Arabidopsis thaliana: one gene and its partners. The protein of the gene in region 2 interacts with the protein of the main gene of each other region in a pairwise test. Each region holds a gene or a part of one and is shown on either strand. Other genes may lie near its edges.

What was found.
Region 1: the proteins of AT5G40190 (region 2) and AT5G58620 interact in a two-hybrid assay, tested with the Arabidopsis thaliana proteins (one large-scale study listed by BioGRID).
Region 3: the proteins of AT5G40190 (region 2) and OXS2 interact in a two-hybrid assay, tested with the Arabidopsis thaliana proteins (one large-scale study listed by BioGRID).

What each region holds. Positions count from the first base shown.
Region 1 is NC_003076.8:23,688,998-23,699,452, forward strand, and holds AT5G58620 (zinc finger (CCCH-type) family protein), read left to right. Parts: upstream 1-4,261; 5' UTR 4,262-4,535; intron 4,536-4,919; 5' UTR 4,920-4,961; coding exon 4,962-6,785; 3' UTR 6,786-7,143; downstream 7,144-10,455. Other genes in the region: AT5G58610 (PHD finger transcription factor), read right to left, coding at 1-1,759, 2,097-2,195; TRM31 (uncharacterized protein), read right to left, coding at 7,144-7,454, 7,531-8,338; AT5G58640 (Selenoprotein, Rdx type), read left to right, coding at 8,999-9,181, 9,261-9,337, 10,006-10,324, 10,401-10,455.
Region 2 is NC_003076.8:16,064,979-16,073,633, forward strand, and holds AT5G40190 (RNA ligase/cyclic nucleotide phosphodiesterase family protein), read right to left. Parts: upstream 5,067-8,655; 5' UTR 4,872-5,066; coding exon 4,320-4,871; 3' UTR 4,065-4,319; downstream 1-4,064. Other genes in the region: RLP54 (receptor like protein 54), read right to left, coding at 201-2,579; AT5G40180 (Pmr5/Cas1p GDSL/SGNH-like acyl-esterase family protein), read left to right, coding at 2,945-3,010, 3,100-3,228; DEG9 (DegP protease 9), read left to right, coding at 5,424-6,027, 6,328-6,527, 6,619-6,799, 6,877-7,068, 7,187-7,419, 7,517-7,618, 7,701-7,751, 7,827-7,931 and 1 more.
Region 3 is NC_003071.7:17,485,362-17,496,730, reverse strand, and holds OXS2 (CCCH-type zinc finger protein with ARM repeat domain-containing protein), read right to left. Parts: upstream 6,461-11,369; 5' UTR 6,034-6,460; intron 5,403-6,033; 5' UTR 5,380-5,402; coding exon 3,229-5,379; 3' UTR 2,809-3,228; downstream 1-2,808. Other genes in the region: AT2G41905 (uncharacterized protein), read right to left, coding at 780-965.

The DNA of each region.
Region 1 (10,455 bases), 7.6 Mb from region 2:
GGTTACAGCATCGTATATTTTCCCTTGGTAGAACCACATTGTTGTCCATGAGCCAGGAAAGAATATTTCGTGGACTGTGCTTTCTTGAGATGGGAGTTATTACTCGTTGCGCTCTTTTTCTTGATCGTAACACACGGGTTTTACCACGACTAGTTACTCGATTCTTGATATCCATTAACTTTTTTGAAGTGTGCCCCCTTCTCATGCTCCGATTGACATTCTGTAAACCTACAATCACTTCGTCCTTCTTAGGTGTCTGTTTACGCTTACTTTTTAACCTTAGGATGATGCCTTGAGCTTTTGTTTTTGGCTCGATCCTGACACGGAGTGTCTCTTTCTGACCCGGAAAGGCTTTTTTGGGACAAAAATTGCGGCTTTCTCTCGTAAAGACCTCCTCGTTTCCTTGCGTTTCATACTCAAGCAAGGTATCAGTAGACAGCTTCAATCCTTCACCAAGAGCGACACTTCTATTAAAGGCAGGCAATGCCAAAACAATAGACCTCATTTCCTGGGTGCTATACGTCTGGTTTTCACTAGACAGAGAAGGAGGGTTAGCCATCCCCGGAGTAGTCAGGGATTTATCAGGTTGTTTCAGTCTGAAACATACTTGACGAAGAGAATGCTCTTTTAGTCTTCCATTTGGTGAGAGGTAGCGAAACCTTTGCCTTCCAGCTTCGTCTACCATATGTTCTATGGTCCATCCCATATACTTAAGATGCATCCTGACATGCATGGCCATGGGCAGTAACGGTGACCTGATAAAGCTCGACACAGCTTGTGGGCCTGATTTAGCAAGACAGTCGAAAGGATGCCAGATTCCAGGTTTCTTGTGTAGTATATCCTTTTTATGAGCGGCAGTAGATTTCTTGCTGGAAATTTCTGTTGCCTTATTGATGTCACTCGCCTCTGACCTTATGCCAGAAACAGAAGTCAAGACAGACAAGGACTGGCATCTCTGGCTTGCCGGTTTGAAATCTTTGTCAATGCAGGAAAATTGGTGTTCTTGTGGAGCAATCGTTAGCATACCGCTAAGACAAGCATTGGTCTCATAAACCGCCTGAGAAGCTTCATTTAAGAGCTTCAATTGAGGGTATCTTTCAGCGTCAAAATCATGAAGAAACTGGTCAATGGTGATTTTAAGATTATCTTCAATCACCCCCAGCATCAAATCTTGCCATAAATGCTTAGTAGAGCAAGTCCATTCTTGAATTCTTACAAAACCAATCCTGTCTCGTATGTCATACCAAAGTTGCTTTACCGAAACCGGGAGATAGTTATATTCCTTATATATCTCAATCAAATCAAGAAACAACCAACTGCCACGACACTCCCACGTCTCTGTAGCCTCATTCCAATCCTGAGTAATACGTAAAGATTGAAGATCAGCATCCAATTCATCACCCAAATCAGGGAAAAACACCCTCCTTTTCTCAGAACCATTCTCGTGGTCAAAGAGCACACCTTCCCACCAAGCATCACTGAAAAACACATCGACGCAGAGCCCATACGCAAGGTTCAGTTTAGCAACATCCAGCTTTGGCGGCACAGGTCTTAAACGTCCACGGAAAGTATCAGAAACATCAGTGCAATCATCCAACCCTTCTACTATATCAGAAACATCAACAGTTTCCACAAGATTACCAGAACCATCATCAGAGAGAATGTTGTCATATCTGATACAACGCCGACGTCGCTTTTTAGCTGAAGTTACAGTTCCTAAATACCAAGAACCCAGAGACCCCTCTTCAAGACTCCTTACCTAAACAAGCAACACAAATACTTTTCCAGGATTAGAAGACGAAGCAACATTAAAAGCAACATATAAGTTTGCACTAAAAATGGAAACTACTAAACTTTTAACATCTCAAAAGCTAAACAAAAAGCTACAGAGAACCAAAAGTGATTATAATGGAGAAACAGACAATGTAGCTTTTACAAAAGTTGAATCCATCAATTACACTCCACGATGAAACTCAAACCTTGAAAAAAATCCGAAATTGCTCAAAAGGTTGAGAAAATGAAAAACCCTATAAACCCTACAATCAAAAAGACCCATGGTGGAAAGGAAATAGTCAGGGGGGAAAACAACAAGCGACCTCTATCTTATCACCGTCGAGAAGCTTTTTCCGGCGGAGATTTCGTCTACCGGTGCTGTTCCAGCCGAATATCGGCTCTTCTTCCTCCGCCGCTGGCATTAAAAGCTTCGAGTGAGAAATTTGGAGGGAAAACAAAAACAAAAAACGCAGTGTTCCGATAGAGCTTGGAGAATATTGAAGAGAAGATTTTTGTGGGTAAGAGAAGAGATTTGGGAGGTACTTGTGTGAGTAGCAGCTTTCTCCCCAAGTAACGCTGTACTAGTCTCTGCAACTTTTTTAGTCTAATCCCAATTAAACAGCGAGATTAATTAAAACTAAAGGACATTGATGTTGTTTTTTGGTTGATACACGCGAAAAGAGTGGAGATTTTTAATTTTGGTCAATTTGCACTATTTCCTAATTAAAAATCCAAAATTTACCCATTTCACCCTCTTATTTCTTTATTTCTTCTACTTTCGTACTATTAAAGCTTGCTCATCACTCTTTGACTTTGACTCTGTTTTTCACTCTTCTCAGATATAGCTCATGAATACGACATTCTTTCTTCGGATTCACCATATGACTTTTACTTGTGAAGATAGTAAGATACTATCTCATTAGTTACCAGTTCTTTTTATTTACGTCCATGAAGAAGAAATTGGCTTCCTTCTTTTAAATCAAGAAGATAGACTAATGGGCCAAACCTAGGTCTTTAATTATGGGCTTTGAAACAGATCATTATCCTCGTATAGCCCCGCATCGGTATTTCTGGCCCAGAAGTGCTTGGCGCCAAGTCGAAGAGAGATAATTCACTGCATTTAGGACCATAAAAGTCAATATGGTCTGTCCAATAAGGCTCTGCCATTTGGGGTTTTGTCGCAGCGACGTCGGCTGATAAAATAGCAAATAGCAATGCTTAGTCGCTTTCAGTTGGTCCCACATGCTTCTTATTCCATTCATTCTAGTCAGATTATGGATTCTTGTGGGTCCTTTTCCTAATTGTACACTTAGACTTTTCTACCTTTTTTCCCTTTTTATTTCGCTTTATATCAAAATTAACCTAACAATATATCTCATCGTGAATACAAGATCTTGACCGTCTGTTTTCAGCATTTTTCATACCATTGTCTTTTGAGTGACTGACTTATAACAAATTTTTAAATATTGATTTGACATTGGGAATCAACAGTGTTTATGTTAAGAAACAGGATATAATTATCTAAAAATTAATAATTTGTCGTGTATATATACAGTATTTGCACTATCATATTAATATTATGACTTTACTTATTTATTAGAACTGTAAATTAGAAGAAGAGAAAATAAATGGCTTTGTGTTATGATGTGAGAGAGAGCCAGTGGAGCAGCTTCGTTAATGCCGCTGCAAAAAGCATTGATGGGTTCGGTTGCATGCATTTGGATTTGGTCTGGTTGCAATACAAAACAGTAGTCGTTTTCAAAAAAATATTATTATACATTTGCAATTTATGACTACTTTTATATAGTAGTACAACATTGTCATGGATCACGAATCACTATCTTTTAATATAATAATACAAGCATAGCGACAGAAAATACAAAGTTTGGTAAGGTTTGTTCGAATTCTTTCCATTACCGAATTTAAATACACATTATTTTAGTCTCTTAGGATATTTGTATTACCTAATCGTCTTTTTGTTGGAATTGTCGACCGAAAAAAACTGAACATAAACGTCAATTTCTCGACTTTATAATAATTATCTCAATTATCTTTAAACTTTATGATAATTAATTTTGATGAATATAACTCAAATCAAAGCTATGACAAAAGAGAGTTGCTATCAAGCGAAACCCACTCGAGACGGTTCCGATTCTGTGTTTTGGTGCATGTTGAGATTATTCTGGGGCGGTGACAAACCAATTAAAAAGCTATGGTTAATTGGTTATATAACTCTAGGTAACAGGCAGTGGTTTTATCTTTAGCTCGTGAATGGAGAAGAAAAGTAAGTAGCTCATTTTAAAAACATGCTGACGATGCATGGTTTCCACGTCATCCCACCAAAAACCGGAAAAACGCGTGAAGCGTGACAAAACCGATGAGCGAAGATCCTCTGTGTGAAGTCTAACGTACACCTTCATTTCCTTCAGACTTTACAAATTAAAATTGAAAGTAAAATAAATAAATAGAAATAAAAAAGACGAGAGAGAAGTAGAAGAAGAATGATGGAGATGGTGGTTTTGTTTTATTATTTAGAGTAAGCTTCTTCATTTTTTTAAAAACTTCTATTATTTTGACCTTAAGAAGAAAGTGACAAGGAGAGGAAGAAGAAGAAAAAAAACATAATTTGAGGAAGAAGAAAAAAAATTCGGATTTGTTTTTTCAATAAATTGACTAATTGAGTACTCGTTTAAAGGAAGTGAAGAGCGGTTTTTTGGTAGTGGTGGTCGAGAAAAGAGAGAGTTTGTCTCTGTGACTCAGAGGTAGAAAATCTTTACTCTTTGTTTCTTTGATTTGATTAGTCACTAATTTAGTTTCAGTTGAATCCATATATGTCGATTTGTTTTAGAGTTTGCAGTTTGTTTTTAATTGTTTTGCTGATTGGAAAATGAGTTAACAATATGATTAGTTTTCGATGTTGCAAAAGTGGTTAATTATGGATCTGTTGGTGTTTATTTTTGGTTTGGTTTGTTTTAAAGTTGGAAACTTTGTATCCCAAACTAACAAACTCTTCCTTCTCTCCTTAGCTTAATCGTTTCTGCAGTTTTTATTTCTGTTTTGTATGATTTTGTTCTATGTATATTACCATTTTAATCAGAAGAAAAAAGATTCATCCTTTTCAATTTGTTCTGCAATTTTTTTTGCAGTGAAATCAATAGAGCGGGAAAAGATTGTTGCTTTTTTTTGCCATGGGAGTTGATGAGCTGTCTCACCTCAAATTCTCTCTTCTGCTAGAATCATCAGCCTGCAATGATTTGTCCGGTTTTAAGTCTCTAGTTGAAGAAGAAGGTCTTGAGAGCATTGATGGCTCTGGTTTGTGGTATGGGAGGAGATTAGGATCAAAGAAGATGGGTTTTGAGGAGAGGACGCCTCTTATGATTGCTGCCTTGTTTGGAAGCAAAGAGGTTGTTGATTACATCATTAGTACTGGTCTTGTTGACGTGAACCGCTCTTGTGGCTCTGATGGTGCCACGGCTCTTCACTGTGCGGTCTCTGGCTTGTCTGCCAATAGCCTTGAGATTGTTACTCTTCTGCTGAAGGGCTCTGCGAATCCGGATTCTTGTGATGCTTATGGTAACAAGCCTGGAGATGTGATTTTCCCTTGTTTGAGTCCGGTTTTTAGCGCGAGGATGAAGGTTTTGGAGCGTTTGTTGAAAGGAAATGATGATTTGAATGAAGTTAATGGGCAAGAAGAAAGCGAGCCAGAGGTTGAGGTTGAGGTTGAGGTTTCGCCTCCTCGGGGGTCTGAGAGGAAGGAGTATCCGGTTGATCCAACGCTTCCTGATATCAAGAACGGTGTATATGGGACGGATGAGTTCCGGATGTATGCTTTCAAGATCAAGCCGTGCTCTAGAGCATACTCTCACGACTGGACGGAATGTCCCTTTGTTCATCCGGGTGAGAACGCAAGGAGGCGTGATCCGAGGAAGTACCATTATAGTTGTGTCCCTTGTCCTGAATTCCGGAAGGGGTCTTGTTCCAGAGGTGATACTTGCGAGTATGCTCATGGTATCTTTGAGTGCTGGCTTCACCCGGCTCAGTACCGGACTCGTCTCTGCAAGGACGAGACGAATTGCTCGAGAAGAGTTTGTTTCTTTGCCCACAAACCCGAGGAGCTGCGTCCTTTGTACCCTTCAACTGGATCAGGTGTTCCGTCCCCGCGGTCTTCCTTCTCATCTTGCAATTCCTCGACCGCTTTCGACATGGGACCGATTAGTCCGCTTCCTATCGGAGCAACAACCACACCTCCTTTGAGTCCTAACGGTGTATCCTCTCCAATAGGTGGAGGAAAAACGTGGATGAACTGGCCTAACATAACCCCTCCTGCATTGCAGCTTCCAGGGAGCAGATTGAAATCTGCATTGAATGCAAGAGAAATCGATTTCTCTGAAGAGATGCAAAGTCTTACTTCTCCAACTACATGGAACAACACGCCAATGTCATCTCCATTCTCCGGAAAGGGCATGAACAGGCTTGCAGGAGGAGCAATGAGCCCGGTGAATAGTCTCAGTGATATGTTTGGGACAGAGGATAATACATCGGGTTTGCAGATCCGACGCAGCGTCATTAACCCGCAGCTGCATTCCAACAGTCTTTCTTCATCACCTGTGGGAGCCAATTCTCTGTTTTCGATGGATTCCTCCGCAGTCTTGGCTTCAAGAGCGGCTGAATTTGCTAAACAGCGAAGCCAAAGCTTCATAGAACGCAACAACGGACTGAATCACCATCCCGCAATCTCTTCCATGACTACAACTTGTTTAAACGATTGGGGCTCATTGGATGGGAAGCTTGACTGGAGCGTCCAAGGAGACGAGCTACAGAAGCTCAGAAAATCCACTTCTTTCCGTCTCAGAGCCGGTGGCATGGAATCAAGACTGCCTAACGAAGGGACTGGGCTCGAAGAGCCAGATGTCTCATGGGTGGAGCCGCTGGTGAAAGAGCCACAGGAGACAAGACTAGCTCCGGTTTGGATGGAGCAATCATACATGGAGACAGAACAGACCGTGGCTTGAATCAAAAGTTTTGAACTTTCATTAACCGTTCCACAAGAAGCAAAGTCAGAAAGATTCCGAGAGGTCGATGCTAATCTATTTCATTTTATTTGTTTAATGCTTTGTTATTTTTCTTTAGAATAAAAAGAAAAAATTCTTAGGGGACAAAAGAGAGTTCGTTTGTCTCTCTCTCTGTCTCCAAAGAAAAACAGAGGTGAAAAAAGGTTTCAAAACCTAAGAAACCTTGAATTACCTCACCTCACTTCCTTGATTCTTTACTATTCACAATGAGTAATCGATTTTTTTTTTTCTTGGTAACACTCTCACGCTGAATATATATGTTTTTTAGTAATAATATAATTGGAATACAGAAATGTATTTACACTTGTGAAGTTAGGGAAAGTGTTGTAATTGTTTCTTCTAAGAGTTGATCTAAGATGTTTGAGACTATATCTTCGCTTATGATTCCTTCTATATCTTCGAGCTTTAAAGCTTTTCCGTTAAACCAATCTGAACCTTCAAGGTCAGATACAGTGAGTTTGCAGATCATGAGCCACATCTCTTGGTAGCCATGAAGTCGGATTTCTTGGTCTTTTGATCTACTTGTCAATGTGATGTGATCTTGTTCAATCGTTTCATTGAGCTTACTAGATTCAAGTTCTGAAGACAACCGTCTTCTTGAAATGTTTCCTGTTACAAGGAAACAAGTATGCTTTAATAACACAAGAAAGGACATTTCAATTTTCAATACTGAAGAATTACCAACCTGGTGATGGAGTTACTCGAACACCAGCATACCGGTCATAATCAAGAACCGAGACAGGGCTCGAATCATCGCAGCTTCCACACTCTTCTTCTTCTTTTGTTGATCTCACTTCACAATTTACTAAATCTTCTTCTTTGGACCAACAACCATTACTTTGGACCCAATTCTCCTTCTCGATGTTCTGTCTCAACTTAGTTTCTTTTCGTTTTCTTCTGCTCTTACGTTTCTCCTTTCTACGCTGCATCAGTTCTCCAATCTCAAGCCTCTCACGTCCTGGTGAAACGTTCATGGCATTGATGTTGTTCTCTTTACCCTCTAGGTGTGTTTGATCCTCTGTTTTGCTCTGGTTCTCTCTAGTATCTCTCCTCTTCTTACAATTTCTAGTTCCCAGCTCCTTATCATTTTTATCCTTCTCGAAACTGAGAATGAAGAAATCATCATCTTCAAGCTCAACATACTCAAGAGTGGACTTAACTCTTCTATGCTTTCCCTGAATCTCATCGTCGTCCCTCTTCAAATGATTCACTGAATGGCTCCTTGAGAGAAATCTGGTTTTGTCGATCACGGGAATTGAGTCCAAACCCATGAGCCTCGCCACAGCTCCTGGCCCATCTCCTCTGCCTCTGAGTGGCTCGGGGATGAAATCACGAGACTTGAAACTGGGTTCAGTAATTAGATCAGATGGGTAGGTAGAAGAGGTGCCGGAACAGAGAAATCTTTGAAGAATGATAGAGATACAGCCGAATGACCGAGTCTTCGAGCCGAGTGAGAGAGAACTAGCCGGAGAAGGCGATGACTTCATCTTCATGGTCTATAGTGTCAGTGTTTCGAAACTAACGGAGAAGTAACGCATAAGGAAAATAACTTTTGTCTTTACTTTTTTTTTTCGGTTGAGTGATGATGGAGAGCAAAACAAAAAGTGTGAACAAACTCAGAGCGGGATCTAGAATTTGAACTAACATTCTCAGTCAAAAACAAAATGTAAATCAGCTTTTTTTGTTGTACTTTTTGTGATTGAGAAAGCAATAGACAACAGTTGAGACGCTGTGCACTGCACGCGTTTTGACAAGTCAATTCCCGGAGAAATTCATGTCGTCCGGTGCCGCTTTTTTATAACAAACCTCTGTCACTTTTGTTCTTTTTAGTTCTTGAACCGAGTCAACAAGAAAAAATAGTTGCGGATCAAATATTTGGGCCGTTTTGATACTTTTCAGTGGGCTTTATGTTACTTCTATTCATTCAAGCGGGGGTGTAAGTGCAATAAAATATAAATACAGGGGTATTTAAGCAAATATTTCAAAATATAAGACGTCAACAACAATGAGCAGGATAATAATATTCCAGCATCCAAACAAGTCTTATTGAACTCTCTCGTTCCGTCTTCTCCGATTCGCTTTACACTACTTCTTCCCTCGTCTCTCTCTCTCGCGCTTCACTGTGAATTAATCGAGAGATCTAAATATCCGCCATGGACAGAGCACAATTGATCTTGTTAGGTCTACCTATATTCTTGTTTTGTTCGGATCTCTTCAACCTCTTCACTCCTCCGCCTCCTAAACCTCAGCCTCACCGTCCTCATCAGCCACCGCATATTCCTCACCAGCATCGTCCTAATGCGATCATCCCCGAAACCCTAGACTTTCCTTCACAGGTTAAATTTCTTTTATACTTTCGTGTATTTCACTTCTATTGGTTACGGTTTTGATCTCTAAGCTCCCATTATTTTGCAGAAGACAAGTGGCTTAGGAGGAGCAATTGGATATGGAAATACAGTAGAGATCAACTTCTGCGTCTCCTGTTCTTACAAGTAATTCAATTTTTCTTACTTAGATTTTAAGAAATTCGATTTTGATTTTAATGTTTTTACTTAGAATCGGATTTATAGTTATTCTAGTGTAGTCAGAGAATCTTAAGCAGCTTGTAAGTGAGGTTTTCGTGGTGAGAAAGAAAACTTAGATAATGTGGAAACTACATAAGAACTATCTGATTCATGCTTGAGGTCATTGCTTCCTTGTAGTCAGATACATGAACATCCTAATTAACATTGTCATAAGTTTCAGTGTCTTCAATAAGCAAATCACTGCAATTAGACAGTTTGAGATTTTATTTCATAAAAACATCATCTCTGTGACTGTTGTTTGCACTGATTATATCTCAAGGCTTATTCCTGCTGCAATGTCTATACATGTATATGATTTTCAGTTCCCATTGACTATTGATTTTTATAGGATTCATTATAGCTGCAAGGTGAATAGGATTTTAGAGATGTGTGGTCGATCAACTTTGTTGATTGGGGATGATTCTTAGATGCTAGAAAACCTGAAAGGCCTGACTTTGGTTCTTATATATGATTATGAATGCTAAATGACATGACTTCTTTGGATACTGTTTTGAACTTCTCCGCAAAAGGCATAAGTAACTCTAGCTTTCTTTATCAGTGTGACTGGTGTTCATCCCAATTTTTTTAATTTGTAGGGGAACTGCAGTCACCATGAAGAAGATGTTAGAGACGGCTTTTCCCGGTTTAGATGTGATTCTCGCAAATTACCCACCACCAGCACCAAAACGCCTTCTAGCTAAGGTTGTGCCGGTTGTTCAGATGGGAGTTATTGGTATGATAGTTGCAGGTGATCGTATCCTTCCCATGATTGGAATTACGAACCCACCTGCTTGGTTCCACTCCTTGAGGGCCAACAGATTTGGATCCATGGCTTCCACTTGGCTTATCGGAAACTTTCTGCAGTCTTACCTTCAAAGCTCAGGCGCCTTTGAAGTTCACTGCAACGGCGAACCGGTTAGTAATTAATGGTTTAAGATTATTTCCAGATATGTAAGATCAGTTTGTACTAAATCCTGTGTTTCTATTTCAGGTGTTCTCTAAATTGAAAGAAGGTAGATTCCCAGGAGAGATCGAGCTGAGAGATC
Region 2 (8,655 bases):
AGTTCAAAGTGTGTATACTAAACAAGCAAGCATTTGAGCAACATTTAAAGTTTACAAAGTCTGTCTAATACGAAACAGATTAACCAGAAAATCAAAGCTGTGTTGTTAGTTTATCGTCAAAGCCCAAAAAGCAAAGAGTAGTAAACTGATTATTTTACATATGATTCAACACCAAAATGAAGAAGAAGAAACAATACATCTCAAAGTCGAAACAACTTATAGAACAAGACCGGTTTGTATCGAGCAAAGGCTTGTCCGATCGCCAGTCCAAACAACACTCCGGGTCCATAGCCTATCGCAGCTGCTTTCCAGTTCAACGCATGTTCTTGCTTTGGTAGTTCTTGCTCTTGTGTATGTGGTGTTGATGGTACTCCATTTCCCCTTAAACAACTCTCTTGAAGAGGAAGACCACAAAGATTGATATTCCCTTCAAAGGAGGATTTAGGTTGCCCTCCAACCTGTGTACTCTGTGGTATTTGGCCGGTGAGTCTGTTATGTGACATGTTAACATATCCCAAAAACGTCAGCTCTCTTAGCTCTTGAGGTATATTTCCAGAGATTCGGTTTTGAGATAGATCCAATGACTCGAGTTGTTTAAGTTTGGCCAACGACGATGGAATACGACCAGTGAAAGAGTTGTTAGATAAGTCCAGAACAATCAACGATTTCAAATCACCTATTGATTCTGGAATCTGTCCTTCAAAACTATTTCCTGAGAAATCTATCGACGTGTATGTATCTGGAATCTTTCCCAACTCTATGCTTCGTCCTTTTATTCTCAAATGAATGGAAGGATAAGACCAAAGCGGGGTCTCATATTTAGAGTGTTCATCTCCTGTGTACTCTGGCCAACGATATCCTTGTGGGGTATTAACCAAAGGTGCACTCCAATTCGCAAAGTAGTTTTGCGGTAGGCTCCCGTTGAAGCTGTTACGGGAAATATCAATTATCCGCAGTGCCGTAAATGAAAGAGAGACCTCAGGAGAAGAAATGGGACCGTGGAATCTGTTTGATCTCAGAACAATGATTTCAAGACGCGTCAAAGCCTTCAGCCAGAAAGGGAAAGTGTCGTTGATGTGGTTTCCTTCCACATTTAGAAACTTTAGGGTTGTGCAGTTTACTAGAGACCTTGGAAGCTTCCCACTTATTTGGTTGTGGCCAACGTCAAGTAGTACTAAGCGGTCTTCTATGTCCGGAAGTCTCCCAGTGAGGCTGTTGTTACTGAGTTTCAACGCTTCTAGTCCGAGTGACACATTTGTCAAGCATCTCGGAATTGTCCCACTGAAGTTGTTGTTTGATAGATCAAGGAGACTGAGTCGATATCTTTTGCAGAATATAAGTGGTATGCCTCCAGTGAAATAGTTATTTGATGCAGCCATGATGTTGACATAAGGTGGAATAATAGGAAAAGATCCTTTGAAGGCATTTGAACTCAAATCTAACTCCGAAATCGACGAATTGAGGATTATTTTTGGCGTACCTTCCAAGGAATCAAAGGAGTTGCGTGAGAGATTTACATGGAGCATAGAAGGCAGAGTCCATAACAACTCAGGCACTTTTCCTTTAATTCTATTATTGGAAATGTCTAACCACCATAATCTTTGTAAGTCCTTAATAAACATCGGGAACTCGGTGATGTTGCAGCTCGACAAGTCTAGATGTGTCAAATTTTCTGAACCGGTACCAACCACTGAAACACTATTTCCGGAAAGATCCAAACGCACTAGAGACTTGAAGAGCAAGAAATCAAAGTTGAATGTGTAGGGTGTCTTCTGAAAAGATAAGTCAATTTGTATGAGGTTGGCTAATTTTGAGATAGGTTCTAGGATTCGATGACTCATAAGGTTATAAGCCATGTCTAAAATTAAAAGTTTAGAGGTTGCAGAATAATTTATATTCTCAAGAGGGTCACTAAGATGGTTTTGGCGTAGGTTAAGAGAAACTAGAAAAGGCATGGTGAAGAGGTAAGAAGGAATGGCTCCAGAAAACTTATTATATGATAGGTCTATATTCTCAAGAAGGGTTAAACTATGTAGATTGGGAATACCACCGGTGAGCTTGTTATATGAAAGGTCTAAATTGGTTAACCGGCTTAGGTTACTTATTGAGGATGGAACTTCTCCTATAAACCCATTTTTGCTAAGATCCAAGGATTCCAAGTAGGTCAGTCTACCAAATCCAGAGGGTATAGGGGACGAGTCAAAATGATTTTCAGAGAGATCGAGGTACCTGAGGTGTTGGAATCTGAAGAGGCTACTATTAGCCTTGAGACTAGTAAGACATTGACGACCAAGGGACAGCTCCTTCACCACACCGGTCTCGCTATCAAAGGAAACCCCACTAAAGGAGTCAGAGTCTTTGGTCCAGGAGCTTATATTTGCTCTAGTGTCCATTCGACCAAAGTAATCGAGTTTCCAAGTGAGGTCGCAGTTGAAGGATGGAAACTCATTCTTCAATTCCAACAGAATCTCAACTTGATCGCGTGGGAAAGGAAATGGTAGAGTGTAAACTGAATCGCTGGTCACAAAGACGCAACAGAAGAAACAAGTTATGAAGAAAACGGCCAAATTCGATTTCATGATATGAAGATATGAAGAAGAAATTGGTATGTATGATTTGGTCAATTTTGCAGTCTACTCTTCTAACAATCATATATAATAAAGATAAAGAGTTATATATATAATAAAGATAAAGAGTTATATATATAATAAAGATAAAGAGTTATATGTCACATCGCTTGCTAGGAAAATTTGAGTCTTTCAGCATGTAAATATTGACCACCACATATTTAGTTCGACCAAGACCGATACCAACCGGGTAGACAGTGGACCAATTAATCAATTTTCTAGATACTTTATATTGTCTCTACACAAACGTTTCAATCTAGACAATTATCCAACTGTAGTCTTCTAGATATTTTTTCGATCTTGTCTGTGGCAAAAAGATGAATTTCATTGGTGATTCTGTAGCCAGAAACCACATGGAGTCTCTTCTCTGCCTCCTGTCAATGGTAAGATTTTTTTTTTGGACAACATCTTATAACATAACTCCTTAAGCTTGTGACTTAAGAAATCTCGTTTCTTTGCTTTGGTTTCACAGGAAGAAACTCCGAAAGATATCTACCTCATGGCAAAGTTTCTAGTGGCCGGACTCGAAAGGACTCATGCTAAGAAGACCGGAACAGGAATCTATGATCTCGACATTGACAAGCGAGCAATGGGCAATTGATCTGCTAAATACAGACATTGCCATTGCCATTGGAAATCTTAACATCTCAGATAGAACAGCTTGAAGATATTTAAACGTGACAGCTTAAAAAAGAAGAAGTTTGAGGTTTTGGATGTGACTAGGGTTATGCTAATGAGACCAGACGGGCACCCGAATTCTTACTGGGGAAATAAATGGATGAAGGGTTTCAATGACTGTACTCACTGGTGCTTGCCTGGACCAATCAATGCCTGGAGCGAGTTTCTCATGGCCATACTCAGACAACTCAGGTAAATCTTGAGGATAAGAAATTTTAAAAAGTATAAGGTGATGTCTTAATTCAATTCTCATTACAACCTTTAGTTATATGTGTAAGAAAGAGAAGACACATATTATTTACAGGACATATACAAAACTGCACATACCTGGCATTGTTTAATGTATTCATGATCATAGCCTGCAAAAAAACATTGAGCAGAGGAATAACAGTTTCCACCATTCTTAGTGTTCATGTGAAGACATGAAACATAAAAATTTCCTGTGATCTTCCTAAGAATCTCAAAGTGCATAAACTCAAAATGATGACACAGAAACCAAACGGAAATTTTCATTCAACGGATCATAGCGATCTAAAAGACCACCTTGAACAGTCCTTGTCCCAAACTCCAGAGACTAAAAATTACAGAGAATTGAGACAGAAATAGTAACAGCTAACTTACTCACCAACCATGACTACAACACAAAGCCTCAATTGTATCCTAACTCTTAACTCTAGCTATCATAACACAATTCAGATCGAAACACACATCGACAAAAGATGAGAACATAATAAGAGAAGTGAGAAAGGTGAGATTGATAAATAGCAATTCTCCAACTATTCCTTAGAAATATCCGAGTTCAACAGTAAAGACATAAAACACATATCATAGGAACTTCTAAAGATATCGACTTTGACTACAACACAGAGCTTCTATGTGTTCTAGTAGTTAACTCTAGCAATCAAAACATCATTCAGATAGATAAATAGCAAATTCTCCAACTATTCCTTAGAATTCAACAGTAAAGTTCGAAGCTTTACATAGAGAAATTACATAAAAACCAACAACAACAGATCAAGACTCCAAAGTGTTACCAAGAGGAAATGAGAAGACTTCACGAACAGGAGAAAACTCAACGAGACCAATCTCCATACCATAACCATTCACCGGAAGCTTCAAATCTCTCAACACAGAGAAAGCCTCAGCCATACGAGACTTAGGAACATCAAGAGCCACGGGACAAAACGGAACCCAAGAATCAACACGATACTCTTCACCAATGTCAACAGATTCTTTCTTCAACATATCACATAACTGAGTCTGCAACTGAAGAAGCGATAGAGACGGAGTCGGAGATAGAAACAGTACGTTGTTGTCGCTAGAGAAGCTACCGATAGTAGAGAACGAGATCGAGATTGGTTCTTGCTTGGATACGAAGTTTTTGATGACGGATTCGAGTCTCGTTGAATCGAAGAAGGAGGTGGAGAAGAGTGTTATGTGTGGACGAGACTCAGTGTTGATCAATTTGGTACTGATTTGACGGCGAGCGAAGACGTTCCATGCTTTCAATACTTGGTTTTCGAGTGCTGGATCGAAGTATAGCTCGATTGCGTAGCCTTCTGACATTTTATTCCAAGTCGGAATTGAAGATCGGAGATGGAATTGAAGATGGATCGCGATCGGAGACAGAAGGAAGATGGTGGAGTAAGAGAGATCGATTTACTCAAAAAGGGAAAGTGAGAACATCATCAAATTTCAGATTTGGTTTGTGCATTTTAACCGATCCTAACCGAATCGAACCGAACCAACTCTAAATCCAACTTTATTAAATTCGGTTTGAGTTCAGCAACAAATTACGAATCTCTGTAACTAACTAATTATGGTTTAGACTTTTAAGATGAAGACCAACAAGGCCAAGTTTGTGGTTTTAACCTAATGATGGCTTGGGTTAACATAATTATAATTCAGTAATTAGAAGCCCAATATCGTTATTGGGCCTAACTTCAGGCCCATTTGTCTTATATTCAGGCACGACGGGACAATGATCGCCGTTTCTTACAACCACTCTCCGATTATAAACCCTAGCCGCGTCTTCTTGCAAATTTCAATTTCAATTTCACTGAGAAGTTACAATCCAGAGGAAAAGATTATCTTTTTCCTTCTGGGTTGAGGGAAAAGATGAAGAATTCTGAGAAGAGAGGACGTAAACACAAAAGGCAAGATGCTTCATCGGCGGAAAACGCCGGCGGCGAAGTTAAAGAAGCTTCGGCTAATGAAGCATCGTTACCTCAATCCCCTGAGCCTGTTTCAGCTTCTGAAGCCAACCCATCTCCGTCGCGACGCAGTCGTGGGAGAGGTAAAAAGCGTAGATTGAACAATGAATCAGAAGCTGGTAACCAGAGGACGTCGTCACCAGAGCGTAGTAGATCTCGTCTTCATCACTCTGATACGAAGAATGGTGATTGTAGCAATGGGATGATTGTTTCAACAACTACTGAATCGATTCCCGCTGCTCCGAGTTGGGAAACTGTTGTTAAAGTTGTTCCTTCAATGGATGCTGTTGTTAAAGTCTTTTGTGTTCACACTGAGCCTAATTTCTCGTTGCCATGGCAAAGGAAACGACAGTATAGTTCTGGTAGTAGTGGTTTTATTATTGGGGGAAGAAGAGTTTTGACTAATGCACATTCTGTTGAGCATCATACTCAAGTTAAACTCAAGAAGCGTGGCTCTGATACTAAGTATTTGGCTACAGTCTTGGCCATTGGAACTGAATGTGACATTGGTATGGATCTTGTATCTAATTTCTGCATCTGTTTTCTGTTGTTTTGAGTTGCAATAGAATTTTTAAGTAGTCAGAATTGATTTTAGTATGTAATTACAGCTTTGTTGACAGAAACTGATGATTTACTCTTTTTAGTGTAGTTTGAGTTGCAATAGAAGTGTAACTAGTCATATTGATTTTCTATGGATTGTACTTTTCTCCTTGTTATGTCTGTTATAAGTTTCATTGACAAATGTGTGAAGTCTGGAGTTTTACTGTTCTTGTCTATGTGGCTGATGATGTTATACACTTGGATTACAGCTTTGTTGACAGTTACGGATGATGAGTTTTGGGAAGGAGTATCTCCTGTGGAGTTTGGTGATTTACCAGCTTTGCAAGATGCTGTTACTGTTGTTGGTTATCCAATTGGTGGTGATACAATCTCTGTCACAAGCGGTGTTGTTTCCCGGATGGAGATATTGTCGTATGTGCATGGATCAACCGAGCTTTTGGGATTGCAGGTTGGACAACACATTTGACATGATATTTTTCCTTATCTGACTAGGGAGTTAAGGGCACTTATAAAAATGTTTTCTGTTTTTGTCTTTTCAGATTGATGCAGCTATTAATTCTGGGAATTCTGGTGGTCCTGCATTTAATGATAAAGGAAAATGTGTTGGTATTGCATTTCAGTCTTTGAAACACGAAGATGCTGAGAATATTGGTTATGTCATTCCCACACCGGTGATTGTACATTTCATTCAAGATTATGAGAAGCATGATAAATACACAGGTAAGTTTCACCGATGATTAATGTTGTTTGTTATCTATCTCTACATGTGCTTTTTTCTCATACTTGAACTGTTTTAGGGTTTCCTGTTCTCGGAATTGAGTGGCAAAAGATGGAAAATCCTGATTTGCGGAAGTCAATGGGTATGGAATCTCATCAAAAGGGAGTGCGGATTAGAAGAATTGAGCCAACCGCCCCAGAATCACAAGTTTTGAAGCCGTCTGATATTATCCTTAGTTTTGATGGAGTTAATATCGCTAATGATGGGACTGGTAATAATTCTTTCAATAACTTATTAGCAATCATTAATGGGACCAATGAGTGTAGTTATTTCTGGTTAAGTCTAGACAATCCTTAATAACATTTCTGTTCATGTTTGTGTTTTTGCAGTTCCATTTAGGCATGGAGAACGAATTGGCTTTAGCTACCTTATATCCCAAAAGTACACTGGAGATTCTGCTCTCGTGAAGGTTCTACGAAACAAAGAAATATTAGAGTTCAACATAAAACTTGCAATCCACAAGAGGCTAATCCCTGCTCACATAAGTGGCAAACCTCCTTCGTACTTCATCGTTGCTGGCTTTGTATTTACAACTGTCTCTGTTCCATATCTTCGATCTGAGGTCCTTTACTGTCTCTCTATCTTTCCTTACTTTCTCGCTTTCTCTCATGCATCCATTCACAGTTTATATAACTATTTCCCATTGATATGTTTTGCAGTATGGAAAAGAATATGAATTTGACGCACCTGTCAAGCTATTGGAGAAACATCTTCATGCAATGGCTCAATCCGTGGACGAGCAGCTTGTTGTAGTTTCACAGGTTGGTTTCTCCTGTTTCACACGTTAATGCAGTCATAATTATTTTGGTGTCGAAGCCTCAACACCCATATTTTAACTTGCAGGTTCTTGTTTCTGACATTAACATTGGTTATGAAGAGATTGTCAACACCCAGGTTTGTTAAATTGCATTTATCATTTGTCACTTTATTGAAGCATCTGTCACGCTAAATGTTCAAATCGCCGTGTAGGTTGTCGCCTTTAATGGCAAACCTGTGAAAAACTTGAAAGGTTTAGCTGGGATGGTGGAGAATTGTGAGGATGAATATATGAAGTTTAATCTGGATTATGATCAGGTATGTTATTTTCTCATCTTCCTTAACTTTTATACAAACTTATAAACAATTTTTAGCTAAAATTCTTTGGTGTTTCTACAGATTGTTGTTCTGGACACTAAGACAGCAAAGGAAGCAACATTAGATATTCTGACCACACATTGCATACCTTCTGCTATGTCTGATGATCTCAAGACTGAAGAAAGAAACTGAAACAGAAGGAACCATAACCAGAAGGAGAGAAAGAGAGATTTTTGTCCATGGAAGGACATAAAAGCAAATACAGTCATGGAAAGACAAAGAGAAGCTCAAACCATAATTTGATTTTTCTTGATTCTGTTTTGTATTTGGAAAAATATGCAAGAAGAAATACATTGGTTATTTTTTCTCTCATTTATTTTCTTTGAAGTTTGAACTTGGTAGAACAATCATATATATCCACACAAAAAAAGTATGCAAAAAGAAAGTGAAATGGATGAGATATAATCATAGGTTCTTCTACCAAATACTTCACTTTCCATTCATCTATATGTCCCAAGTAAAATAGTGGGATTCGTAGCGCTTTGACATTAAGAAACCCTAGTCTGGTTTAGCTACCTGAACCGATTTTGAAAACTAAGATCGAACCAATTCAGTGAAATCACCATACCATGGTCCAAGGATCACAAAACACCAATTTTATTAACAAACACTAATATGTGTGTCTCTGGTTTTTGTCTACGCCTTTTTTTAATGAGTTTTGGAC
Region 3 (11,369 bases), on a different chromosome or scaffold from region 2:
AATTATAAACGAAAATAACAATTTCCTTTTTTCTGAAAAGCGTACAAAACTTTAGTTTCCAAAAAAATAAAAGAATTAAAAAAGGCATCGCTGTTAACAATACAAATCGCTAATTAAGAGCTTGATTACTGCGGCTGAAGTTGTTAGTGGCTTCTATGATCTGATCATGTTCTGTTGTGACTTATGTGAGACATCAATCAACATTATAATTTGAACCATTAACAAAATCACAAGACCAGTGGTTTATGATTGTGATTCGTCATAGATTCAACAAGTGATACGCTTGTTTTGAAATTACGATGTGTACTTTTGTCGGATAAAATCACTCAGAAAACTAGAACCGGTAAGCGATTTCTAGGCAATATCCAATAGTTTGAGGATGTTTTTATGAGCAGAAAATATCTTTCTGCTTGTACATTTTTTGTTTTGTGTAGACCATGTGAATTCACCTAAACCAAATAACTTTCACAAAGCTTTATATGTTGAATTCAATAAAATTAAGACTTTGTAAAATTCTAACTTGGTCAAAATTATACCTGCGCAAAAAATATAGTAACCAAAATATGGTGGTAGTATAAGAAAGATATATGAAAAAGAGAAAACAGATAGTGTATATATATATTTATTAATCAGCATTACATAAAAACATGTCTGACCGTAATCAAATTATTTTTCGTTTTATTCACTTTGCCTGTCTAAACAACACACACAAAATTGGACATCATAGAAATTGACAGAGACATCGATATTTCTTCTTTTTTTGCTTTAAATAGAAAAGCTTAGTTCAAGTAGTAGGCGAAGAGAGACACAAGGGAAGCTCCAACCAAAGAGCCAAGAGCCGGAACAGCTACGGAGGCTCCACTTGCGGCGGGTCCTGGTGCAGGTGCTCCGACCTCTGCAGCCATGACGGCGGTCATGGAAGCAGCAGCGAAAACGACTCCGCAGGCAATCTTCTTCATCTCCATTGCTAGTTGAGACCTGAAAGGTTTTTTTCTGTTTTTTTTTTTGGTAGTTTTGTTTACTTTTATTATTTTTTGTTTCTCGCAGGTCTGAGGATAATTGGATGATGCTTTTGGGGATTTATACCGGATGGAGTTAAGCTATTTTTAGGTAAATTTAAAATTAGAAATCCGTTTGTTCACACAAAAAAAACAGAAATTACAGAAATAATGTAGGAACCTCACCGTTGAATTTTTATTTCATTGTGTGGCTTTGATTCATTTACGCGTTTCCAACCATATTTTTACCTGGTCAAAATGAGTGCAGATCGTATTTTCCGGCATGTTTTCCGATTTGGGTTTGGCCTTTTGTAACCATGTAACCGTATCTGGTCCACGAGCTAAAGCCCACTAACATATGTGTGGATTTTTAAAGAGCTAAAAGCCCACCAACATAATTTTGTGTGTTTAAAATGGTTACTTCAATTGGTTTAGACTTTAGAGTGGCCCAGGTGGGTGATCCATCCCTTTTATTTATGTTATTATTAGCTTGTTCCGAACCTAAAAAGACAATATCAAAAACCTTAAACTTTTTGGTAAAGTAGATTTTGGCTGGTATAAATTTTGGTATTAAACATTATGAATGAATAAAAACAAAGTGAAATTTGAAGACTTTTTTTGGGAACAATGAAGAGAATCATTAGAAGGGGGAAGAAGGAATGAATTTCCTAGCTTCTGCTATGCTTTTTCTTCACCTTACTTTCTCTGTTTATGCTTCTTTTTCTTTCTGTTTGGTTTTGATTAAAGTTGCGTCGCAATCAGCTTTTTCTTTTCTTTTATATTTTAAACCCAAAACAATATTTTTAAAAGGTATAAATTGATGAATAAATTCTTAGAAATATTATTCTTGCGTATAATATATGCTCAAATAGGTTTGGTGTTATCTTGAATAAGATACTCGGCATAAGTCTTGTGATTTTTGTGTTTGATCACATCACCGCAAAGCTTTTGGTAAATTAAAATATTAATGGAAATATAAAAGGTGATAAAGAAAATCACTCAAGAACAAACATATGCACCGAAAGTTTGATCACTGAAAGGTGACGATCACCTATTTTTTTAATTTCTCAAATCCGTCCATTTGCTTTCTTTAGTGAAATTTATATTTATTTAAAGTATAACCGATAAAGAAAGAACAACTTAAACATCCTATTATTGGGCTATACGCTCTAGCAAAAGAAGACAAGATAACTGAACAGAGAATGAATAAACATGTTCGCACTAATCTTGGTTTGTTTTTGTTTTTGTTTTCATTTCCTGATCAAAGTTTAATGCTAAGAAAGAGTCCAAAGAGAACAGTCACGTGAGCTCGAGGATACAAAAATTGGTTGCACCAAGGAGTGAAAAACAGATTAATATCTATCGTATTTAGATAATGTAAAGTATTAAAAGAATTTAAGTGAATATTATTAAATCAACCCACCAGGCCACCATCTCAACACAAAGCTAAATTTGCATATTCCAAAGCATTAAAAAAAGAAAATGTGGTTGATCAATTTTTATTAAGAATTGACAAAAAGTAAAGAACTTACTTAAGAATCTTTATTATATTACATTTAAAGATATACTATATCACTGTCACCTGCCCCATAAACCACATCCACATCCCTAAGAAATCCAAAAATTAATCCTTTATGGATTAGCCCCCACTCAGTTCTTCTACCCAACAAATATTTATCTATTTATTGCACTAACGCCACATAAATAATTAGTTAGTGAGTCATTAAGTAATTAACATAGACACATGTCTCCCAAGAATTTGCTTTGAAGGCCACTCTTATTTCTCCCACAAGATTAAAGAAACTAAAAAGATTAAAGATTATTGCAATTAATTTCAGGGTACTCATTATAACAAACGATAACAAATAGTCATAACAATAAAATATATAAAAAATAATAATATTAATAACAATAATAATAATGATAATGGGAGAAAGAAATCCCTAAAAAAAAATTGAAAATGGGAGAAAGAAAACCAAGAAGGTTTTGTTTCATCTCCTTTCTTCCCATAAGCCTTTTTCTTGTATTGTTCCCTTCTCTTCTCTAAATAAAAAAAAAAAAAACTGTTTTTTGTGAAAATTAATTGACCAAAAACAAAGAAATCTTCTTTCTTCTCTTCTCTTCTTTGTTAATCTTGTTACCCTTCTACCACCACCACCTGTAAAAAAGAGGTTTTTATCTACCACATAGAGAGACCAGACAAGAACATGTGATTCTTTGGTTAGGTCTCTCAATTCTGCTGAGCCACAAGCTGATCGAGCTGCATTTGCTCAATCCAAGCTTCTAGCCCAGCATGATCCATTACCGGTTCAACCGGATTTGGCTGCTTCATCACGTGTTCCCCTGAGGAAGATGTTGCTGCTTTCTCTTTGGCTTCTGCTGGAGTCTCCTTCACCAGTGACTGGACCCATGACACATCAGGCTCATCACCATCAAACGATGACGAAGATCTCAACTTACCAAGTGCTTCTGAGCTCATTCCCCAATCCGGTTGACCATTTGAAGATCCCCATTTTGATGACCATGTGTTGTTGTTTACCGGTGAACCAACGATTGGGCTAGAGTTTGTTCTGAGCTCTCTGGAGCTAAGGCTACGGAACTGATGTTGCTGCTGCTGCTGCTGCTGTTGCTGTTGTTGTTGCTTCACGCACTGAGCCAACATGGAAACCCGAGCACTCATGGGTGATATTGGTTCAACAACATTCCGAGGAGACATTCTTCCTCCACCTGAAAACAATGAGTGGTCAACGCTCTTTGGTGAAGAAAAGCTTGTGTTGATTGGAGACAACATGCTCTGCTGCTGCTGTTGCTGTTGTTGGAACTGGTTGAAGACAGCTGACTTGTGTGTAGGCGAGAACACCGCGGAAGCTAAAGCGGAATCAGTGAACCGGGGAGATGAAGAGCCTTCTGCTGAGAAAAGATCTTCAAGATTCGAAGGAGGCATTGATTTCATCCGACCAGAACGGCTCAGAGCATTGGAATACTCGTTGAGGAGTTGCTGCTGCTCGTAATCCGCTAACATATTGAACTCATCCGTCGGGATATCCCTTGCATTGAGAGAAGACCTTAGCCTGCTTGACTGTAGATTGCTTCCTGGTAAGTGCAACGCAGGGACATTTGGTTGTGGCCAAGCCATATTCGAATGAGACATTCCGTTCCCCGCTGCTGATGGGGAAAGCGGGGACATGACAGAGACTCCTGATGGAGAACCAGGAAGGAGACTCAAAGCAGCTGCATAATCAGCATTCGATCTAGGCGAAGGAACCGCTGAACCAGTTGATGCGTACAAAGGTCGAAGCTCCTCGGGTGTATGCGCAAAGAAACAAACCCGCCGAGCACAGCCTGTTCCATCTTTGCAAAGACGGGTCCTGTACTGAGCCGGATGAAGCCAGCATTCAAACACACCGTGCGCATACTCACACATATCTCCTCTCCTACAAGCTCCTTTCCTAAAATCCGGGCAAGGAACGCAGCTGTAATGGAACTTCCTCGGGTCTCTCCTCCTCGCGTTTTCACCCGGGTGAACAAAAGGACACTCAGTCCAATCATGTGAATAAGCACGAGAGCAAGGCCGGACCTTGAAGGAATACATTCTAAACTCATCAGTCGCGTAGATACTGTTCTTGATATCTGGCAAAGACGGATCAACCGGATACTCTTTCTTGAATTCAGTAGATTTCAGCTTAAAAGGAGAGCCGAGCGGTGAACCAGACCCTGATCCACCATTCTCTCCAGTAGGAGAATGACACGGAGATGAGCTTCTATTCGGAACATTTGTCACAACCCGTAGATTCCGCTCCGCAGTAGATGATCCATCAGCAGAAAGAAGCTCCTGAAGCATCAGCTTCACGCCTTCAAGCTTAGGAGGAACAACAATAACATCACCAGCTCGTTGACCTTCAGCATCCAACAGATTCAAATCAGCTCCAGCTGCAAGAAGCAGCTTAACAACTTGGATAGCATTCACAGCTCCTCCAGAAGCAGCGCAGTGTAACGCAGTGGTCTGATCATTCCCGCAAGCACGGTTCACGTCAGCATCAGTCAAAGAAACAATAAGCTTGATCACATCAATGCTTCCGTAAGTAGCAGCAACCATCAACGGAGTCCTGTAATCGTTGACCATAGCTTTAGAACCTTTTTGACGACCGTACCAGAGACCAGCTTCGTCTACACAAGAAGGGTCTCTCTCGATAGATAGCCTTACACCTTCAACATCGTTGTTAGCTGCAAGCTCAAGCAAGCTCGCAAACGTATCCTCTGTTTCGACTGTTAAGTGATTCATGTCTGTGTTGGTAACAAGATTGTTATCTTCCTCGAAAGAAATTGGCAACGAAGATCTTGATGACACGATCTGGTTTAATCGGTCTGATCCACAGCACATAGTTCCATCTGTGGAATCGGATTCTGTAAACATCATCAAAAGAATCAAAAATTCAATCAAAAAGATCACTTACATAAAAGAACTAATAAATCGATCATAAAAAACCAAAAGAGAATCTTTTTAATTCTCTTATCCATTGATTTTACAGAAACTAGATCGGAATAGTACTCCAGTTAAGATAAATCTCAGCTAAAGTCACTTTCAGACAAGAAGGGAGGGTTTTTGTCTGAAAACAAGACCATGTCTTAACGATTCCCAAAATCAACCGTTTTTTGAAAAACCAGTAAGTCAAACAGATTTCAATAAAGAATCAAGCAAAGAGGATTTGTAAAGACGCTACTTCTATAAATAGAACAGGGAAACTAACAACAAGCAATAAAATCCGATCAGAAAATCCCAAATAAAAACTTCATCGAATCTTTTTTTCCATAAAAACAAAGTCAAAATAGACAAATAGAGAAGAAACTCAAATGGATCTTTGTTGCATGTTATTTCACGACGTTTTTTTTCTCAAAAAATTCATAGAGACTACAGCGAACAAAGAAAGGGAGAAGCTTTAGATTCAGAAAGAACCAAAAATAAAAACTTGAGACGATCGAAAACCAAACGATATCATCAAACCATAAGAGGCCTCCGATGGTCGACAAATCTCACCTTTTTTACTTCTCGATTGAAACAAGTTTAATAGAACAGAAACAAATCCATATCTTGCCGAAGACTTCGATGGTTTAGTCGTGAAATGAAATCAGTTAATAGTAGATCTAGGAAGAGAGTGTTAAGGAACAACAACAAGTGAGAAGAAAGAGGAGGAAAAGAATTAATTTCCCGAGAAAATCTGGGAAGGAATAATAAAAAAGAATCGGTGAAGTCTCTTTTCTTTTAGAGAGAAGAAGAAGAAGAAATGGTGAGAGGAGCTTGTTCTTCTACAATCTCCATTTCCCAAGCTCAGATCTCACTAGAAAAGTATTTACACCCCCAAAAAATAAATAATTTTTATTTTCCTGAGAAAAAACATTTTTCGACACTTCGTTTTCGTTTAATGAAATTTTTAATAAATTTCGCTATCCAATAGGGAAAGCTATTTAAATTAATATTTTATAGGAAATAAATAAACAATTAAGAAAAAGACAAGCGCTACTATGAGATCTTATTAACCCCTACCCGTTTTACGAATTTAAAATCACTACAACCAATAGAAGCTGTCCACGTCATAACTAAGACAGTAGAACACAAGGGTACAATAGTCAATTCGACTTCCGATATATGAGTTGGCAGGGTATGATTGGTTGACATCGGAAGTGGACACGCATGTATCCTTCCTATTAAGCTTTTTGTCCTTGGTCAAATTCTCCAGTAATTTCCACTTAATACAACTTCCTAAAATAAGGGGATGGCAATCTAGTGAGTCAAGTTACATCGTAATTAAAAGCCTTTTTCCTACGTGGCGACAAGTGAATGGATATTCACTTTTTCGACTTTATCCCCGTTACAGAAATCTCTACAGACGCTCTGCTTTCTTCATAAGGTATTTTCCAATTTCCTAAATTGCCCTTAGAATCTACGAGAAGTCGTTTTTACCCTTTTTATCTTTGGCTGATGAGACACGTGGAATAAAAGCATTGAGCAATAAGCACAATAAGACAGGAGATTTTTCAATGGACGCGAGCTTTATGATATTACAGGATCGACCGGTGAACCCGGTGGTACGGATGGCTGATGGTAAGAGAAAGTAAACGGGAGGAACCGGTAGCCTGTGAGTGGCGTAATTGAGAGGGATTATTAAACGATATTTAAGAAGGGTAACTGGCGTCCACCAAGCGTACGGGGGAACGGACGTGATACATTTTATTTAATTCCAGTTTAATTGTAGAGTCAATCATAAACCATGAGCGAAATGAGAAAGTGGGCCTAATGGGTTTAATAGATATTTTTGAAAACTATAGGTTATAAGTTATAACTTATAACAAACTGCATCAAATTTCTAATAACCTAAAAACTTAAATAGGGAATTAAAAGATAAATTCGTACCATATGGTTTTTCCCAACACATCTAAAAATATTTCTTTAGGAGGATTTATTTTCCGGCGTTATTATTTTTTTTTGTTAATATTTCTGCTGTTCTTTCAAGAATTTACTAATTAGTACTATATAAATATTAGTTTATAATTGCAAACAATTTCATCAATCTGAAATAAATTATCATCAAATTGTTTTATCAAACTTGCTATACAATACTTATTTATATATAATTTAATTATTTCAGATAACTAAAATGAAACAAATTTTTATGTATAATAGTTAAAAAATATAATATAGATTTTAAAAATGAGAATATTACGTAATTAGGCATTTTTTGAAAAGTTAATGTCTAATTAAGCATTTTAAAAAGAATATACACTTTCGATAGGTTATTTGACCTATTTACCTTTTACACATCTCTTTCGTTACATTTTATTTGTCTCTCTCCTTCTCTTCTCTCTCTCTTTTTTTTTCTCTCATTTTTCAAGTCTACACAATCAAGTGGAGAAAATAAAAAGTTTTTACCATGATTTTCATCTCTCTCTCTCCCTCTCTTCCCATCATCAGTCAACTTATCAGTTCGTTCCTTAATTTTGTTATATTTGAATTTCTAGGGTTTTGTTGAAATCTGAGATTCAGATTTTGCTCTCTCTCTTTATTGAAAAATTACTATGAATCCTTGCTCTCTGGGATCACTTCATTAGTCAAGTTTCTGATTACAAAAATGACGTGAAGCAATCTGTCATCGTCTTAAGGCGTAAAATCAAGCACATCCACAATTGGCTGAAGAAGAATCCTCTGTTGCCTTCTCCAAGTTAGTACTCTCTCTCTCCCACATGATTCCTATTGATTTTCATGTCATTATCTTCATTTTTATGTCATTATCTCCAATTCTCCATCCAATTCCTATTTTAGATTCGTTCTCCAACTAATCTGGGTATCAATTTGATGTAAGAAATAGATTAAAAAAATTGTTTCCTTGGTTCATTGTCCTTATGTTTAGCATTTAGATCTGCAATTGATATTGGTCGAATTTAGTAAAGATCACATTTTTACGATTTAAATTGTTCCAAAAGTTTTTGTTTTTTTCCATCGAATCTGATTCTGGTGATTATCGATCATACATAAACTTGTGTATTGAAATAAAACGACCCCATGAGTCATTAGTTGACCACATGGACTAAACTTCTTGGACAATCATCAATGGACACATGTTGGCTTTGATTTGCTGTGAATTTGTTTTATCTCTAAGTATAATTATCACTTTCTTGTTTATGCTTACAATATATTATATGGTTTAGAGTTTTGTTTTACGATTTTGGATTTAATGGATAAAGATTAGGGATTGAGGGTTTGAGTTTAGGGTAAGGAAATTAGGCTTTAGTGCAGAGTCTCAAGGGTTTAAAGTTTACACACCACAAACCATTTGTTTGTGTTAACAATATTGTATCATATTCTCAAAAAAAGTTTGTTGATGGACCTTGTATTGATATATATAAAGCGAACTGTTATGGATAAATTTATATGGACAATATATATTGGATACATAATTAGAAAAATAGTTTAATATCTGATATTTGTTGGGAATATATAATACTACTTAGGTTTAAATATATAGTATTTCATATAATGCAAACTGTTTGGATAAGTTTACGTGGACAATATATATTGGATACATAATTAGGAACATAGTTTAATATCTGATATTTGTTGGAAATATATAATACTACTTACGCTTAAATATTTTTATTTGATTTAAAGCATTTCATATAATGCGAACTGTTTGGATATGTTTACGTGGACAATATATATTGGATACATAATTAGGAACATAGTTTAATATCTGATATTTGTTAGAAATATATAATATTACTTAGGTTTAAATATTTTTATTTAATATAATATTTGACTTAAATATTTTTATTTGATTAAACTAAATTTTAACTGATCTTACCATTAATTTTTAACTTGTTATCTCTATCTAATGTCACGTATATTATTTTTTAGTAATTGACAACAAAATTAATTTATCTCCTGTTTTTTTTCTTTCTCACGTTTATAAGGGTAAATTGGTTATAAAATCAATAAAAATGTGGAAAAGTGTTCACTCCCTCAAAAGTGTCCCAAACGTCCAAACTTTCTCTATAAATGTCTTATTAGGGAATATTCCCTTTAAATATATGCGTAAAAAACCGTAAAGTCACATTGGTTTTAATAAAACTTAAAATTTAAATGGAATTAAAGAATAATAAAAATGAAGAAACCGTTTTCTATATATTAAACTAAAATTGGAGTAAAAATTACGAAAATTATAAAGATAATTTTTTCATGATCATTAAAAAAGGGAAGACAGATAAGTAGAAGAGACATGAAAGAAACAAAAAAAAACAAATATGAAAAAGGAAAACATGATATTAATTCCAAATGATGGCTAAACATTACGTCAAAGATTATTTCTGAGTCAGTTTTGTTTTCATTATATATAATTATGATTCTTGGAAATATATAATAACAGAATAGCAGTTTGTTTATTTTTAACATGAAGAAACTCAAAAGGAAATTTAAAATAATTTACTGTAATCCATAGAAGATGTGTTATATTGATTAAAATGTCTGAAGTGGTCCAACAAAACCAACAGTAAAAGCCGGCTTTGTTTTGGTACTTACCTCATTCAGTACATACAAAATCTAAGATGAATTTATAATAAAAATAATTGAACCAAAATCCATAAATTTATAAGAAAATAATTGCAACCAACGACTGCTAATACTTGAAAAGATCAAAGAAATATAAGATTAACACTGTAATAGAAATCAACAGAGGAATTTTATCCCGTGGCTAAAAAAATGAAGATGCATCAGTATAATATGGATTTAAATCTAATCTATGCATTTATACAGTGACATAATTAATTGATTAAATTTACCTTGGAACAGTTTTCCACTCAAGTTTAAATGTATTTATAATTTTGTAATGATGAACAAAAAATACTGATGTTCTAATTCTATTTTTTTTGTATGTCGGCAAAAAAAAAAAGTTTATGTCGGCAATTTTGTTTATTAATTATAGTACTACTAATAACTTAGTGTAACTTATATTTTTCTGATCGTCCATAGTTCAACTCATTTGAAATAATAATGGTTAATCATACATAATTATTGCTCGAATTTTGACGACCTCGAGCCCTCGTCCCGTGGGAGGAAAACAGTAGTGAGGCTTCACTCACCCAACTAATCATTATTAGTGATAATATTTGTTTGTCACCGTATTACTCTTTGATGCTAATGCATCCATCAATATATTTATAACAGATAAAGAATAAGAGTATATAAAAATAAGAAAAGCATTATCCTCATGCACGAGAAAACTTTTGGATCATGTCATTTGGATAACAAGATAATAGAGTGAGTCCGACATTAGTTAATGACCAATCATCACACTCACAAGATTGTTAATCCAAAAAAAAAACTTAACACAATGGATCCTCTCATAAGTAGCAATATGGGTAGAACACTATTTTTATTATGCTATAAATTCTCGTTCCTATTTATAGTAAAAGAAATTAGAACCATTAAACACAAGATTGACATAACCGTTTAACAAATAAAAATAACATAACTAAAAAAAAAACCTATGATTTTTTTTAAAAATTTACTATTAAATTGTTATAATCAATGATATGGAATTCTATAAATCTAGTCAAATAATGAATGTGATACCTATTTCATTTTTTGTCCAACTAATTAGCATCGACACTATATTCAAATTCCAATCGAAAAAATGACACGTGTGAAAAATATGTGTGAGAATTAGGGTAGTAGTAGCAAGTAGCAACTAGCAATAATGGAAGGGGACCGAGTGACCAAACTTGGGCAAAGGGAAAATGTGAGTGTGTTTACTTTGTGGTGTTTTGTCTGCGTCTCTCTTTTGTTTGATTTCCATGTGAACACTTACCAAACTCTAATCTCTT